4 linked regions of the Schizosaccharomyces pombe genome follow. The protein of the gene in region 2 purifies or fractionates together with the protein of the main gene of each other region. This does not show direct contact. Each region holds a gene or a part of one and is shown on either strand. Other genes may lie near its edges.

Region 1 (4,160 bases), 830 kb from region 2:
TAAAAGTCAATACTATCGTATGAAGTGAACCAGCTATTTCAACGGATATGAGAGTTATATTGTTAAATCTTTATGACAAATGTGTTCTTAAAACTTGCTATGCCTTTGAACACAGGATAAAAACTTATAAAAAATATGACCCCTAAGTGACTTGAACACTTGACTTTGAGATTTGGAATCTCACACTCTACCAACTGAGTTAAGGGGCCTTCGCTTGATCTCATAAATATTTAATATTATAGATATTAAAAAAAAGAATGTACAGCATAAGTTGTAATAATGAAAGTCGAATTGGTAAAGTCAAAACTGCTTAAGTAGTCAGTTGAAAAAATTAGCTTTTCTTTCAGCTTAACCTAGAAAGCCTTGGTGTAATTAATGAAGACACAAACGAGAAAGTTGCTTCAAATTACAACATTAATGGATTTTGCGAATCCTTACACTCTCCATGTAGCACTACATGCTGAAAAAATAACAAATGGTTTTGGAGCAGTTATAACAATGGAGTACAAAAAAATTTTCTAAAATAGTTAAAATTAGTCAGTTTAAAAACCCTTATTTTTTCTTAACTCGTCAAGTACACCAGCAATCTAATTTCGCGCGTAAAAATTTGTTTCACAATCTGAAAAAAAAGGTACCAAAAGACCAATCATCAAGGCAAGTGTACAGCTTTAAACCATTCATGATATTGCTACAAAATACTAAAAGTTATTTCAAAAATTTTTCAGAGGCAACCATTTCAAATATAAAAAGTATAAAGAGGAAAAGAAAACAAACGATAAGTAAATGAAACCTAATTTTATTCTTTTAAATAGCAAAAGCAGAGGAACAAAACGTAAGGATCCTTTCCAATTTAGCATAGATTTATGAGACATACCATGGGACGATCACTACGCAGATACAACCCCAAAAAAGGAAATTTTAGCATTCTACCAAACCCAATGCAATTAGGGATAATAGAGCCTGAACAATGTCAAGCATTAAAAAGTATAACATATGAAAGCTCTCAGAAACGGGTAAGGTGGTTAAGACAATCCGAGGGATTAGACTGAATACATGGGTGAAAATAAGGGAACGATTTATGGAAGAAAAAAGAAAATTTTTTATATACGTAGACCTTTATCCAATTTCAAGAAATTTTTATATAATTAAAAGAAACTTAATCTCGAGGCTTGGAGAATTCACATCGTAAAATCAAATTGTTCCAACCGTAACCATCCAAGCGATCACGAGCCTTGATAGCACAATCTCTATCGTAATAACTGACAAAGGCAAAACCTTTAGCACGACCAGTTTCCTTATCCTTTGCCAAATATACACGTTGAATACCACCAAAGCGACGGAACAAATCACGAAGTTCCTCTTCACGGGTATCATCAGATAAGTTAGTGACACGAAGAGTGGCACTATCATCACGTTCACGTTTGAACATAGAATCACCACTCTCACGCCCTGAGCCAGCACGAAGATGAGGAGCTATATAACGACCCTTTTCGCCCAAGGCACCACTAGCCCTTGAAGAAACAGGACTAGCATCCAAGGGAGGCTCATCAACAGGTCCAATAATGCTCTTGTAAGGACATTGAGCGGTAAAATGGTTACCCTTACAAGCACGACAACGAACCACAGAGCTACCCTTTGCCTTAACCTTAGCGGCAGCCAAAGCAGCCTCATCTTGCTCCTCTTCCTTCGTAGTAGTCCAACCAAGTTGAAGTCTTAACTGAACATTTTCGCCAACACTAGTGGTTCTAGCATCAACACCACTGTTCTTGCCTGCTTCCTTTCCGAATTTTTTCCATTTCTTACGCTCCGCCACAGCGTGTTGCACCCGCTCCGTAATAACGGTTTTCCGTATAACTCTGGTAACCTTCACCTTTTTGCCATTATCATCAATGCGAAATTCAATCATGGTTTTTGTGCCATCGGGATTATCAAACGTCTGAATCGAAGGCAATCCAGTACCATAGTCCTCATCGTCAGCCCAATCCAGTGATTTCCTACTTTGTTAGTTTCTTTCACAAAAAAATATATTACATACGATGAACTCATTTTATAGACAAAAGATGTTTGAAGAGGGTGAGCCCTTCATCACCAGAAAATTTGTTGTAGTGTTGAATTAACATACATTAGTAGAAGTTTGATATACCAACATAGCAGTCTACGTTGCAGTACACTACTTGAACTTTTCTTAAAAAGGAGATGATACCTTGCGACTAAATTAGTTTAAGCTTTCTGTTGCTACTATTAGAAAAAGCGGATGAAATTGTGGATTTCAAATTGAAGGGATCGTTAATAACCAGGACAAACTTCGCACCGGTCATCTCAATTCAATCGTCAGTTGAAGCCATAATCTGCAGATCTCTATTACCGATCACTATAAATAGCCAGGTTTTGCAATACCATCATCTTCTATTATTCTGTACAAAGCTCTTTAAAAAATTTCTCAATTCCCGTTAATATAGATATTATCAAAATACAAAATAAAAAAATAAAAACCCAGCATCATTGAACTGGGTATAAGAACATCTAGCTAAAACACTATAATCATACCCGGATGGGAATTTGGTGCATTCATAAATCTAGCATTCATGATTAAATAAGGACAAATGTTTTGTTGTAATAAGAGAAAATGCTCTGAAAAAAAGAAAAGGAATTCCCAAAGGACTTAACAAATCTAAGTTAAAGTCCTTAGCACCAACCAAGGCGGCTGATTACTTATAGCGTTGCAAATTTGAGGTGTCATACCAACTAAAGGAGAATGTCGAGGTAAATATATAAAAGACTAAAGGCAAATATCCTGCAAACATTTTATCTAAATGACTTTACTCGGCGTAAGCGGCGTCAATTTCCTTCTTGAAACGATCCAAAATTTTGCGACGCTGTAATTTCTGAGCTGCAGTCACCAATCCATTTTCGGGTGTAAACTCAATGGGAACAAGGACGACGTTTTGAATAAGTTCGATATTAGCGAAATGATGACTACGACCAATACGAATAAGGTCGTCATAAACAAGTTGACGAACTTTCTTGTTATGACAAACTTCCTCCCAAGAGGCATCAGGACTAAGACCGGCTTGTTCAGTGGCAAGTTTACGAACGACGGGCTCGTTGGGAACGATGATTGCCAAAGGCTTCACCTTGGTCTGATCTGCATATACACAGATATTCGAAACAAGACTGCTCGTACGATAGCGAGATTCAAGCTTCTCCAGTGCAATATACTCGCCATTTTGAGTTTTGACGAGGTTTTTCTTACGATCAATAATTCTAAGCAATCCTTCTGGAGTCAATTCGCCAACATCACCAGTACGGAACCAACCATCTGGAGTAAAGCTTTCTTTATTTTCTTTATCACGGTTAAGATATCCCCGAGTCAAAGAGGGACCACGAAGCCAGATTTCACCACGAGGAGGGTGTCCGTGAGAGTTGTAGTTGCCCTCTTCACAGTCAACTAACTTCATCTCAGTACAAGGCAAAAGAGATCCAGCTGAATCGTCCAAATTGAAACAAGCAGGGTTCTGAACCATAGCAGCTGCACTAATTTCGGTCAAACCATAACCGATTAACATAGGACAGAGAACGATAGAAAGGAAGCGCTTGGTGTCAGGAGATAAGGCAGAACCACCAGATAAAGTGTATCTTAAACGACCACCGGTTCCCATAGATCTAATTTTATTGAATACAGCGGTATCCAATACGCAAGAACCGGGAAGATTGTGACGCATCAACTTTGCTTTAGTGTAATAAGCAGTCCAAAAAACTGAACGCTTAACAGCAGAGGCAGCGTTTAATTTACTCATGATACCCTTACGTACCATTTCCCATACAGCGGGAACACCAACCATGATAGTGGGACGGAAGGTATTGATATCACCCTTGCAGTTTCTGCAATTAGTATCGACCAAAGTACGGACGTTGGCATAGCCAATGGTACCACCCCAAGCCAAACAAATGTTTTCAAACGCAAATTCGAGAATGTGTGCCAATGGAAGGTAGGCCAAAAGATAATCTTTAGAGGTAACTTCAGGAACGTGCTTGACAATAGCAGTGACAATTGCAACCATGTTCTTGTGACTCAAAATTACACCCTTAGGTAAACCGGTACTACCAGAAGTGTACATAATACAGCAGATCTCTTCAGGTGAAGGTGGATCAGGCTCAAC
Region 2 (4,288 bases):
GCTTGATTAGGATTTGGCATCTTTAGGTCCTGGTCCTACTACTGACCAAAAATCTATTCTTTTCAAGAGATATCTTTGCGTTGATAAATGTTGGTGGCACGGAAACGGATGCTGTCTCAAGCTTTCGTGGTGTACTGGTTTGATATGAAATTTAAACACCAAACTTACATATTAGTTGTAGCGAGTCTTTCGATTAAATTACGGTAATACCGTTGCAGCATCGTTTATTTATCTATCAATTAGGGAAATTTAATTTAATGCAATTGGATTAGTATTATTACAGCAATTTAATATATACATAAGTTAATTCCACCGACACATTTTCTACATGTTGAGATAGCGGCATTAATACTTTTGCATTAATTATTTATTTTTTATGCACTTCAGAAAATAAAAAAATTTTAGATAATATATATTTTTTTAATATCCCCGCATGTTTCAAATTTCCAAAATTAATATACTAATAGCGATATTCAATGAGCACGTTTCTTTAAATAGGAAAGTACACAGTCATCTTCTACAATAACGAGTTGTTTGAAAATACAAAATTAGCGAATTAATTAAACTCCTATGTTTTATTTTTAATGTATGAAATATATTCCACCTTTAAACTATTTGCTAATCTTGTCTAAACAGTAGCATGCTTTAACTCCGAAATGCTTTTAGCAAGAGATTGCTCCAAGTTTTGACTTTCAAAACTTAATGACTTTGTACGGTCTATAATCTGTTGGAAAGCTGAATAAGTAGGGTGTTCAATTATTATTGATTCACCGTCCAACTTAGCTTTAAACCCAAATTGTACCTCGGGTTCGGGCTCTTCGGCTTCAGTAGCAGTTTCGGCTTCCGTGATTAAATCATCAGCAACAACATTTGTAGAGGTAGATTCAATACTTTCATCTTCAGTACTTTGATCGGCAGCTACATTAGAAGCTGCGGCAACTGAAGGATTATTACGGTTTTCAACAAGTTGTATTAATTGAGCACTGTCCATTTCCAGCTTGTTAGCAAGCACATCAACACTTATGACACTGTGAATACGGCAATATGCCTCAGCAAGTAATTTGCGAGCACCTTCCAAAAAGTGATCGCACAAAGATACGAGAAAAAAGTCGGTTTTCAAAACCTCTTCACATTCTCTGAGGCAATGCTGAGCTTTTTCAAAGTCGACCTCAGTATACAAAGCAGAAATAAAAGAGGTCACAGGATCGCTGTATTCATAGTTTTCTTGGCTAATGATGCGTACGAGATCTCGCATCCTTCTTTGATAAGATTGCCTAGGGTTACGAGGTTTTTGATTTGCATTATTTTGGTTAGTAACAACAGCGACAGTCAAATATCTTAATAGCCAGGGACAAGAGGTTTGGATGGTGTTGAGATAAGGAGTATAGAAGAACAAATCACAAAGAGTATCACAACCATTTGCATGATTAAACAAAGGAAACAAGGACCAGTGGAGGAGCCAAGTTCGATTTCTCAATTGAACAGCAGAATCTTTAAAGCTTTTGGAGTCCACCATTTCGCGAAGTTTTCCCAATTCCTCCATAGCCCCATCCCAATCAACAGTCAAAATTTCAGAAGCAAATTTACCCCAGGTCGCGGAGGCGTTTAATTCAGGGTCTTTACTGAAGGCACGAAAATGATAAAGTAAATCTGATGCACCACCGTAGTTTCCACAATTATATTGAAATTGAGCAAACTTGTAAAGAACAGCTATACGTTCAGGGGTAATGTTGTAATGTTCTTGTAGGTGTTGTAAATTTTGACCTTTATCTTGACGAAGAGCTGCAATCAAGTCAGGATTTTCTAAGACACCTAAAATTCCTTGAACCTCTTCTTCAAGTTCAGAGAGCTCTTGCAAAACACTGCGTCGCTTTTCAGCAAAAGCATTTGCCATGTCCTCGTCGGTATGACCCCCATGAAGATTAGTCCACAAGTTGGCCACATAATCAGTCATATTGGTATCTTTAAGCAAATCATACTTAGCTTGTAAAAGCTCCTTTGGATCATGAGTCTGTCTTAAAGATAAAAATTCCAATAGAGGAAAAATGAGATGGCGGTCAAGGTGTTGCATAATTTTTTGCGACAAATCATACTTGACCGCTATAAAGGTTAGAAAACATTCTCCTGTATTTAAAAATAAATCTAAATTAGCTTACCTAAAGGGCTTGTACTCTTAAGCTCGGATCCCATATCTGATATGTTTCACGCAAAAAAAAAGTGCGTGGTGTGGGGAGGATAGCACAACTCACCCAAAACTCTAGTAGTAGCCCCCTTAGACTACAGTACTGAAAAGCAATATGACAATAGTAGGTCAGCAATGTTCGTACAAAAAATATTAAATTCCTTAATGATATTTTTGCTTTTTTTAACCAATAGTTTTTCATAAAACTAATTAAGCTCGAACTTACTACCAGCTAATGTAAATCAATGTGTAAGACAAATTTTTATCCGATTCTTGATCTTTACTTAAATTGTAATTATTGTCAAATACTGGTTTCTAATATTTTTTTAACTTTCGATATAAATAGCACTTCTTATACGAATAATACATAAATGCTACTTAATAAAATGTAAATGCTTACTAAGAGATAAGTTTTACACGTCCATCCATCAAAATGATAAGCTCGATATCAATCGATTTAGTAATATTACAGTATTTACGCCCATAATCTATAGCAAATTTTTCAATTACAAGTTGTTCTAAATATGCAAGAGCAATATGGTCCCCGTTATATCCTAATAAAAATAACGTCTCAATGGCTCTTCTTTTTCTTCTTACTTTTCTTGACTTCTTCTGATGCATCATCGGCAGAACGCTTTTTCTTAGACTTCTCCTTTTTCTTCTCCTTCTTGTCTTTCTTTTCTTTCTTGCTCGGCTTTTCTGAAATGGTTTCAACAGTCTCTTCAACGTCAATGTCAACCTCCTCGTCTCCGTCTATGTTAACACTCGATAATGCCTTTTCATAAGCTTCTGCCATTGCAATACTATTGCGAGTAGGGGCGACACCGGTATCGAAAAAGTTGAGACGTTCCTCGACTTGTCGACGAAGAACTTGACCAAATGCCGTAGTTGGGGCATCGCTAAAGTTATCAATACGGCTAGCAATAGAACATTTGTTAGCCAAGAAACGAGAGATGCGGCCTTTGTTTTTAGCGCCAGCTTTTCCAATAAAACTAGAATGGTAAATAATACCGTATTTAGGCGTGTTTCCACGGGTTTTCAGAGCACGGAACAAAGCCTTTTCAGCACCTAGAATCTGTACCGTAGAAGCCGGGCATTTTGACAAGTTAGTTAGACTTCCGGCATGAGAAATCAAACGAGCACCAACCATCTCACCAATTAATTCAGCAAGATTGGGAGCAACAACATTCATCTTCTGAACCAAATAGTTATGTAGCTGTTTACGATAATTACTAAGTTTAATAACACGTTCAGCAAAAGATAGAATATTCTCGAGGTCAATTTCAGAGATATCTTGTCCCATAGACACTTTACCAGCGTTGATTATACTTTGAGCAATATCTTTGTCATCGTCTACAACGGCTGCCAGATCATGAAGCATTTCGTCGTTAATGGTGGTTTTATCACCAACCAGTGTAACAATAACAGCGTATTTGTAATTGTCTCCAACGATCTTCGAAAGCTCAGGGAAATGCCAAGAATACCACTCTTTCATGCGCATAGCGAAAGTATTAATGTCCTTGTCAAGTTGATCAAGGATAGCAATAGCTTGGATAATCATGTTGTCATTTCTGTTAACATTGAACTTCACTTTTGCGCGAGAGTATGAATGTCCTAAACCAAGCTGAGCCCTTTCGAAATCACCGGGTGATAGTTGCTTGAGAAGTTTATCACCATGAAAACGAATACCACGGAGAAGATCCTGGGTAAGCTCAGAAGTGTCACATTCAATGGCATCAATTTCGGATTTAATAGACGTTGCTAAATTTTTGTCTTGGACTCCCAGAGACACCTTTTTCTTCTTTGAGGCTTTCGGCAAATTGAGTTCCAAAAAGTTTTTCAAAAAATCATTCAAAACGCCTTCAGAAATGTCGTTGGCATTTTCCAAAGCATGGGCAGCATTTTTAAAAGGAATAAAACTTCTAAGCTGCACCACTTTACCAAATTTTGAAATATCCTGAAGAGACAACTGCACTTCCTTTGTCTTCGCTGCTATTTGATCAGCTCCAACGACATCAAAAAGGGAATACCCTGTCGCAGACTCATACAACAAGTAATCAGCCATTCTTCACTTGTAGTACTTCACGCCGCAATTCTGACTCGGCG
Region 3 (3,651 bases), on a different chromosome or scaffold from region 2:
GACGGTCCTATTTGAAACTGTTAACATCATTATAATTGAAAATCTGTAATAAAAATAATACGTACCAACCACCATTACATTAAATTGAAAACCACGACGAATTAACTTGCGGTTAATTTGCGAAGTGATAGAATCGAACCCTATAAACATTAGTTTTGACTCTTTATCAACATTCTTTTGTTTTCATACCCACATAATTATTTAGGGTAACTGCAGAAGGAACTTCCATTGCAAGTTGCGAATTGAATGAATTTGGAATTTGTTGGTTTTGGCCAAGTCAACATTGTAACGTGAAGCAAGTCAAAACAAACAAAAAGGTCTCGGCAATATTTACGATTTTTTTTTTAAATAATCTAACAGAGAGAAAACAAAATTTAACAATATATTTTATTAATAGAAAAGTGTTTCGATGTTGTATAAGGGCCCGAAAATATATTAAATTAGCAATGTAACCTAAAACTCGAATACGATAAACAAGTAGATTACCAGCAACTGAATGCACTATTGAAGATTAAACTGTTTCTTATAATTACAATCATGGTATATTTTTGCACATTGTATTTCAACAAACCAATATGCTGTATCAAGAAAACCAAAACAACTTTTATAATTAAGTAGATCCTTTTATTTTAATGCTACGAGGTATAACTAGTGAGAGTGAAGAAGAATGCTCCATTTTTTATAAACAAATACATGCAACCGCTTCACAGAGATCAAAGTCCTTAAAAATTTTCAACCAGATTCACAAATAATTAGCGCTAAATTTAAGCGATTATTACCAATCAGTAGCTTAAGAAGCATAAGCGTTTCGTACACCGGCAAGCTTAGACAAGAAAGCAGAACTTTGTTCATCTATTTGAGTAGACTTCATAATTTGAGAGCTAATCAATAGAGAGTCAAGAAGTCGAGGCTCCGCAGGGAGCTTGAAGATTCGCTTCCAATCGTCTAAAGGTAAAGGTTGTAAATTTTCGGCAGCACGATTTGCATTTTCGGCCTTACGCTTAGCAATCCACTGTTGAATTTTAGCTTGCTCTCTTGCGAGTTGACGTTGATGAAATCCAAGATTTCCTTGCTCATAATGAAACTCATCAGTAGACTCCAATAATAACTCAATATTCTTTCTATATCTGGTACCCAAACTAACCTCAAAGTTACTGAACGTTTCAGTCAAGGGTAAGTTGCTTTCACAATCTTCAAGAGCAGCTTCGGCGGTTAGGGTAGAAGCTGGAGTAGGAGGCTCACTAAGAGAGTGGAGCAAACAGGTAGCCAAATGAGAGTTGTGAATAACAATAGGAAGTTCACGGATAACATTGGAAGGAGTCAAGTTGTGGCTATTGAGGGAGGAGGCGGTCCAAGTTTTTTCCTCATGGGCAGCCATAAACTCTGGAGTTAACTGATAAGCACGCATGTACAAAGTTCCATTAGAAGATTGAGACAAATCATAAAGAAAAGCGATACTGTTGGGGTTTGCCTTTTGATAAGCATATTGCGTTTCTACAAAAAAGGGGCTACTTAAGAATGAACTAACATAGGCTCCCAAATACCAACCAACGTGACCAGTAACAGCACCAATGTACTGAAGACGATTAAGCATCGCCTCAGTATGAGCTTGGCGTGCTTTACCGGAAACAGACTTGTTAACAGCAGACTCTTCATTTTCAAGAACAGACGGAGACTCGAAGCTGCTACTGACTTGTAAAACACCATCAATGTCAATACCAACAAGCTGACCTGAACGAAAGTTAGTTAAAAATATTATTTCAAGAGAGAAACTGTGGTTGATAAGAAATTTCACTAAGTAGAGCATTACTGAGCTGACAAATGCATAGCTGCATCTTTGATGCAGAAAAATTGCAAGTTTTATCATTTCGAAAAATAGGGAAAACTTATTCTCCAATGACTACACTTACCAATTGTTCCCATATTAGGAAAAGAATCACGGCAGTGCTTGATGATATTCATTACAAGTAAAGATTCTAATTCCACCCGCTCAATAGGGGGAGACTCCAATTCTGGACTACTGAATTAGTTATTTATATATCTTAGTCATTCTTACACATTCAATGAAGTTGTATCAGACATGTTTTTTAAGTCTGCCAAGTAGTTGGTTGAAGTGCAAATTGCTGTACGAACTTCTAAAGGAGTTAGTGTTCACCAGTTTAATGACAAGTAACAACAAGTAGCAACTTTTTAAAGCCATGGCTGTCGGCGATTACAAGTTATAGAATAGAGGAGCCTACCAGTTTTATTAAACCTTTTCTAACTAGTTAAAAAATTTGTAAATTTTTTTTTTGTTTTCTCGGCCTTAAGCTCTATTTTCATGACTTCTTTTACTAATTTACCGAAATATGATTTTCATGCTTATTGTAATTTAAGAGCAGCTTCACCGCCTTGCAAAGTCTTTTTAATATAGTGTAATTGACACTGCATTATACTTGAAAGTTCAACATTATTCGTTGATTGGAAATGAATGTGACTGCTTTTCCGTTATATTTACTATATATACGGGTCATTATCCTCAACAAAACACTATCGACGATACTCCATAGGATCATTTCTATAGTATACGTCCGGCTTGGGTTTCCTAACCTAGCCACAGAACTCAACACGGATGATGATAGGAGGCACCGTTGCCCTCAGAGTGAGGACTTTTAATTCTTTGAAGGCATGCTTTTCGATTAGGTTTTTTACCTAATTGTTTTGCTGTCTTTCTATGCGATGATCTCTTACATGATATGTTTCCTTTTGGTCGTATTATGTAGGGCAGCTGGTGTTTTCTGACGTGTTTAATTTCATCTATTATATTACAACTGTGGTGTCGTTTGATGACATAGATGTAATTTCTAGATGAAGTTGTGTCATGTTTTAGCGTAGATTTTAGTGAATAAATGAAACGATTTCAAATTCCGTTAGATTGTTTGATTTATGTTTCTTATTAAAGGAGTCAATTGTATGGTATTTGGAGTTAGATGGATAGCTTACTTGGCGGCGTTTTTTATTTAATATTGTCTGCTGTACATTCGTTAGTAGTAAAGTATTACACGAACGTTTCCACTCAATTGGAAAGTCAAGTCCATGCTTTGTGGGAGCAACATTGATCATGTATGTTTATGTATTGCTAGTTTGTTTATAGAATAACGCAGATTACGGAATCACGCTATTTAACGTCAAAACGTCAAGAAAGGTGTCAATTATGCTCGTTGTCATGCCAACGTCATTGTTTGCGTTTTTTCTTTGATGATTACTTTGTTTATTGTTTTCAGTTGAAGATTGTAAAAATATCATTAGCTGAACGTTGCTTTAAAGGTGTCTTACGTGAATATATTAAGGTTACTTTATAACGGCGTTGTATATTCATTTGTTACTTATTTACCGATCCTATGTTGATGCCGTACTTGTTCCTTGTGTAGGAAAGCTGATACCTATGTACGTACGTATTGCTGTTAGGCGGTTCTTTTATCCCACACCTCTTCCTAAGAATAGCTACAAACATTACCAACTTCATATTAATTCATCAATACGATCTTGAAACTTAGAAGTACTTCTAAATTGTCTTTTCTTGTCGATAGGGCTCGTACATTTGAACTGTTCTTGCTGGATCGTTTCAGATCAAAGCTGATCATATTACAAAGAACTCACGCCTTTACTAGC
Region 4 (4,701 bases), on a different chromosome or scaffold from region 2:
CACGATTCTGACAATTGGAGTCAACATGGTGATGAAGAAGAAGAAGATAGCGAAGATGACATACGTTCAAGTAAAGATGCAGCTGCCTTAGCCGCCAAATTATTCGGTGGTATGGCTCCTGCTCATCCTGTTTCAACACCTCCTGTAAGACCTCAATCGGCGGCACCACCTCAAATGTCTGCTCCAACACCACCACCTCCTCCTATGTCAGTACCACCACCTCCATCTGCACCGCCAATGCCTGCCGGTCCACCGTCTGCTCCACCACCACCTCTTCCTGCTTCATCGGCTCCTTCTGTTCCCAATCCAGGAGATCGTAGTGCTTTACTTCAACAAATTCATACTGGCACTCGGTTGAAAAAAACGGTTACGACGGATAAAAGCAAGCCCATAGCAGGACGAGTTTTAGACGCTTCTGACGGCAATTCATCCGCTTGGTATGGGAATTTGTCTTAGTGGCTTAACTTTTGTTTGTACTCATATCAAACGTTGAGTTTTTGTAGTGTTTCTAATTTTTATGCGCTCTTTATGAATGATATATTTTCTCATTCTGCAGCTATCAATTATCTCTTTAAATTGGCTTGTTTATACTTTATTTACCAATAAAATGTTTATGTTTAAATCTCTAGAGTGCATTAAGACAATATGAATTTAGAAACTTTCTTGAGTCAAATAATACTCGGACATTCACAAAACTATTAAGAACGCTATATTACTTATATACAGTAGTATGTAACGCAAATGCAATTCCATTTAAAAGGACTAATGTAAATATAAATTTCCCCATACAGTACCAATCGAAACGCAAATACACGTCCAGGAACACATAATTGCGGCAACAAGATCATGATTTTAATCAAGTAACATCCGATTTCGAAGAAGGCCCCAATTTTTTTATGACAAAAGGTAGCGTAAAGCCCTTAATCTTCAACGGGTTCTATCTCTTCAGAGATTACTTCCTCAACCGTTTCCTGAATTATTTCTTCTTCTTCAGCAGGAACAGTGATAGCAGGTTGGCCAGTGATTGCACGTTCTTCCGCAACCCGAGCAATAACCTCATCCCTATATTTCTGCCACTCACTAATGAGCTGTCTTCTACGGGCTGCCAATTCACGATTGGCGGAACTCTGTTCGGCGATATCCTCTTCATCAAACAAACGATTATAATCCTTAAGTTTCTTTCTAATTTTCTTCATGTCTTCCTTTGTCAATGGAGAAGGAGGTCTCGGACGCCAGATAAACTGCTTAAATTCTCCAATCATTTCTTCACGAAGAAGTGTGCCCCTAAAATCGCAAAGTCTGTAACCGTTCTCAAGCTTATGCCTCCAAATAGTACTGCTAGTAGTAACATATCGACCACTAGGATCCCACTCCAGCTCAGTCATACCAAAGTGCTCGGCAGAACCTATTTGCTGAACATTGGCAAGAGCATCCGGTTCTTTCTTTTCGGTATCAAAATCTAAGTCGTAAAACTCCAAATCATATTGAGTAGAGGAACCAAGGGTTGCAGCAACCATAAATCTACCCTTAGGCGCCATAAAAAGTGAATTGCATGTTTTCTTATCAAAAGTAATGATATGACGGAAAGTACTAGGGGTGTTCTTTTTCTGCTCAAAACCATAAAACGATAAATTAGTTTTTACATTTGTAGAATTTAAAACTTGATCATTAGCTGAAATTATGGCAAAACGATCACTCTTAGGTTCCCAGGCAAAATTGAGAACAACATCCTTAAGATCCACTACTTCAACGGGAATATTTTTCTCACGAATTCGGAATATTTCAAGGTTAGAGAATGTTGATTTCTTAGTTTTTGTGTGACGATCAACCTTAACACATAAATAATCACCATTAGACTGCCAGTACAACTTACAGTCGGAAACATTGAAAAGATTTTTCGTACGGATAGTTGATTTTGAAGGAATACTAATTAAGGCAACGCGAGCAGGTTGATTGGTAATTTCAGGGGTCCAGTAAGCTAAAAGCTGCTCCTTGGAATCACGTCCGAGAGCATCTGAAACTGGGCACCATTCAAAATTTTGCACACCGTCGATCTTGATAGTTTTCTTGTCAACCAAAGCAAGGGAGGGTGTCTCATAAACAGAAATCGACTGACCAACAGTAACGCGAGCAAGGTATTTATCATCGGCAGACCACTTGAAAATAGGCCAAATAACTTTTTTGCCATCCTTTGAACCTTCTGGTTGAGGAGGAATCTTAAAAGAACGAAGAATACGACCAGAGGCAATATCCCAAACGAAGCAATGTTTTCCTTCATCATCATCAGTGAAAGGCATTGTTTCACGAGCCGGATGTCCGATGGGAGGAAGTCGAACAGGCTCATAGGACCATGAAACAAGATACTTCTCGTTAGGGCTGAAGTCGACAAATTTTACGTAGGGGTGCAAGAAACGAGCACACATTCCCCAAGATTCCCCACCCCATAATTGAATACCACGAAGATGAAGTGATACGAGGTAAGTGCCCATGGGAGACCATTGCACGTAGGTCTCGGTCCAGTTTTCACGATCCACAATCTGTTCAGGGACGTCGCTCTTACGGTTCCAGTTAACAGATACACGGTTACCGTAATAGCTGATAAATTGATCACGACCATAGTAATCAGTTAACCAGCTACGCAAATGTTCGCGCTCCTTAAATTCACGTTCTTCGAAACTAAATTCATCAGGAGTGCTAAAAGCTTTTTCGAGTTGATTCAACTTACGAACAACGAAAGTATGGTTTTTTAAAATTTGCTTTCCATCCAACTCTTGAACGCAAAGATCGGCGCCATCAACATTTTCAAAATCGGCGAAAACTAGTCCAAGAGACATCTTTTTTCCATTTTTTTCCTCAAATGGCATATAAAATCCATTTTCCTTAACCTTTCCAATTTTAGCAAGGACTTTTGAGCTCAAAAAACGGAAGAAATCTTGCTGCTTAGCTTCTTCGACAACTGGAGCACCTTCGATTACTACAACCGTGTCATATCCAACAGGTTTAGTTACATTAAGCTTAACTTCCAGTTCAGAAACATCGATTTCCTCGTCCTTTACGACGATTTGATCCTTAATTTCCTCAATTAGGATTTCCGACATTTCTGGTGTAGTGCCGTTGTCTCTAGTCAAGTTTCTTCACCCAGTGACTGGGGGGACATCGAAGAGTAACTTTAGAGAAATTTAAAAAAAATTGAAAGTAATGAAAAGTAGAATTTAAAAAACATGGTATCATTTAAAATAAACTAATAAAGTTGATTCTGTTTTATATTTCTTCTTTTTTAGATTTTAACTCATTCTACCGATTTTGACTATTATCATTACTGACAACAGTTTATCTGCCAAGTTCGTTCATTTTGTATTGATTTTTAGTATTAGCACAATTGTTGGATTTTTCATAAAAGTTCTTTTTTCTCTTTTTATACTGTTGATTTGTACTGCAAAACATTGGAATGAGACATTCCAAGTGTTACCGTGTCTGAGTCCTCGTTCTTGTTTACAACAATTCAACAACATACTCAGGAGCGACAATTGTCCAATTTATTCATTCTTTTTACCCCTAAAAACAGACGTTTACGATCTTTTCCTATTTTAAATTTACCCCTTTTTTTTATATTGTGGTTTATTGAACTTTACAACAGAATTGCAATTTAAATTAACAACCTTGTCGCTTTCTTTGTAACAATCCTTACTCATAAAACCGAATGGCCCCTAGAGTTGCACCTGGTGGCTCACAACAATTTCTAGGAAAGCAGGGGTTGAAAGCTAAAAACCCGGTTTCTACTCCAAATTCACATTTCCGCTCTGCGAGCAATCCTAGGAAACGACGTGAGCCTCCTACTATTGACACTGGGTACCCAGATCGCTCCGACACTAATTCTCCGACAGATCATGCACTTCATGATGAGAACGAAACCAATATTAACGTAGTCGTCCGTGTTCGTGGTCGTACAGACCAAGAAGTACGCGACAATAGTAGCCTTGCTGTATCGACTTCGGGCGCTATGGGTGCTGAATTGGCCATCCAGTCGGATCCTTCATCCATGTTGGTCACGAAGACGTATGCCTTTGATAAAGTCTTTGGTCCTGAAGCTGACCAGTTAATGCTATTCGAAAATTCGGTAGCGCCCATGCTGGAGCAAGTATTGAACGGCTATAATTGTACTATATTTGCGTACGGACAAACTGGAACCGGTAAAACATATACTATGTCTGGTGATCTTAGCGATTCCGATGGAATTTTGTCTGAAGGAGCAGGCCTTATTCCTCGTGCCCTTTATCAATTATTTTCCTCCTTGGACAACAGTAATCAAGAATATGCTGTCAAATGCTCCTATTATGAACTTTACAACGAGGAAATTCGCGATCTTTTGGTTTCCGAAGAATTGCGAAAGCCAGCTCGTGTTTTTGAAGATACTTCGCGGAGAGGGAACGTTGTTATTACTGGTATTGAAGAAAGTTATATAAAAAATGCTGGCGATGGGTTGCGATTGTTACGTGAAGGCTCTCACCGGCGTCAAGTTGCTGCTACAAAGTGTAACGATCTTTCATCTCGTAGTCATTCAATCTTCACGATAACTCTGCATAGAAAGGTATCTTCGGGAATGACAGATGAAACTAATTCACTTACCATAAATAATAACTCTGATGACTTGCTGCGCGCCAGCAAACTTCATATGGTTGATTTGGCTGGAAGCGAGAACAT

Evidence for each region.
Region 1: the proteins of int6 (region 2) and tif307 purify together in Schizosaccharomyces pombe (affinity purification with mass spectrometry; 3 studies listed by BioGRID, with this or other methods). This does not show direct contact.
Region 3: the proteins of int6 (region 2) and tif308 purify together in Schizosaccharomyces pombe (affinity purification with western blotting; 2 studies listed by BioGRID, with this or other methods). This does not show direct contact.
Region 4: the proteins of int6 (region 2) and tif302 purify together in Schizosaccharomyces pombe (affinity purification with western blotting; 4 studies listed by BioGRID, with this or other methods). This does not show direct contact.

Annotation. Positions count from the first base shown.
Region 1 is NC_003423.3:1,770,909-1,775,068, reverse strand, and holds tif307 (translation initiation factor eIF3g), read right to left. Parts: upstream 2,067-4,160; 5' UTR 2,047-2,066; coding exon 2,036-2,046; exon of another isoform or gene 1,995-2,035; coding exon 1,157-1,994; 3' UTR 522-1,156; downstream 1-521. Other genes in the region: long-chain-fatty-acid-CoA ligase Lcf1, read right to left, coding at 2,820-4,160.
Region 2 is NC_003423.3:938,072-942,359, forward strand, and holds int6 (translation initiation factor), read right to left. Parts: upstream 2,238-4,288; 5' UTR 2,191-2,237; coding exon 2,157-2,190; intron 2,101-2,156; coding exon 629-2,100; 3' UTR 550-628; downstream 1-549. Other genes in the region: oss1 (oxysterol binding protein), read right to left, coding at 1-20; U3 snoRNP protein Nop56, read right to left, coding at 2,754-4,247. UniProt on the Schizosaccharomyces pombe protein: Component of the eukaryotic translation initiation factor 3 (eIF-3) complex, which is involved in protein synthesis of a specialized repertoire of mRNAs and, together with other initiation factors, stimulates binding of mRNA and methionyl-tRNAi to the 40S ribosome.
Region 3 is NC_003424.3:986,828-990,478, reverse strand, and holds tif308 (translation initiation factor eIF3h (p40)), read right to left. Parts: upstream 2,119-3,651; 5' UTR 2,083-2,118; coding exon 2,057-2,082; intron 2,018-2,056; coding exon 1,911-2,017; intron 1,820-1,910; exon of another isoform or gene 1,732-1,819; coding exon 791-1,731; 3' UTR 613-790; downstream 1-612. Other genes in the region: mitotic and meiotic (sporulation) septin Spn2, read right to left, coding at 1-7, 66-140, 190-229.
Region 4 is NC_003424.3:4,308,976-4,313,676, reverse strand, and holds tif302 (translation initiation factor eIF3b (p84)), read right to left. Parts: upstream 3,117-4,701; 5' UTR 3,099-3,116; coding exon 921-3,098; 3' UTR 616-920; downstream 1-615. Other genes in the region: pan1 (actin cortical patch component protein PanI), read left to right, coding at 1-456; kinesin-5 family plus-end directed microtubule motor, bimC subfamily Cut7, read left to right, coding at 3,701-4,701.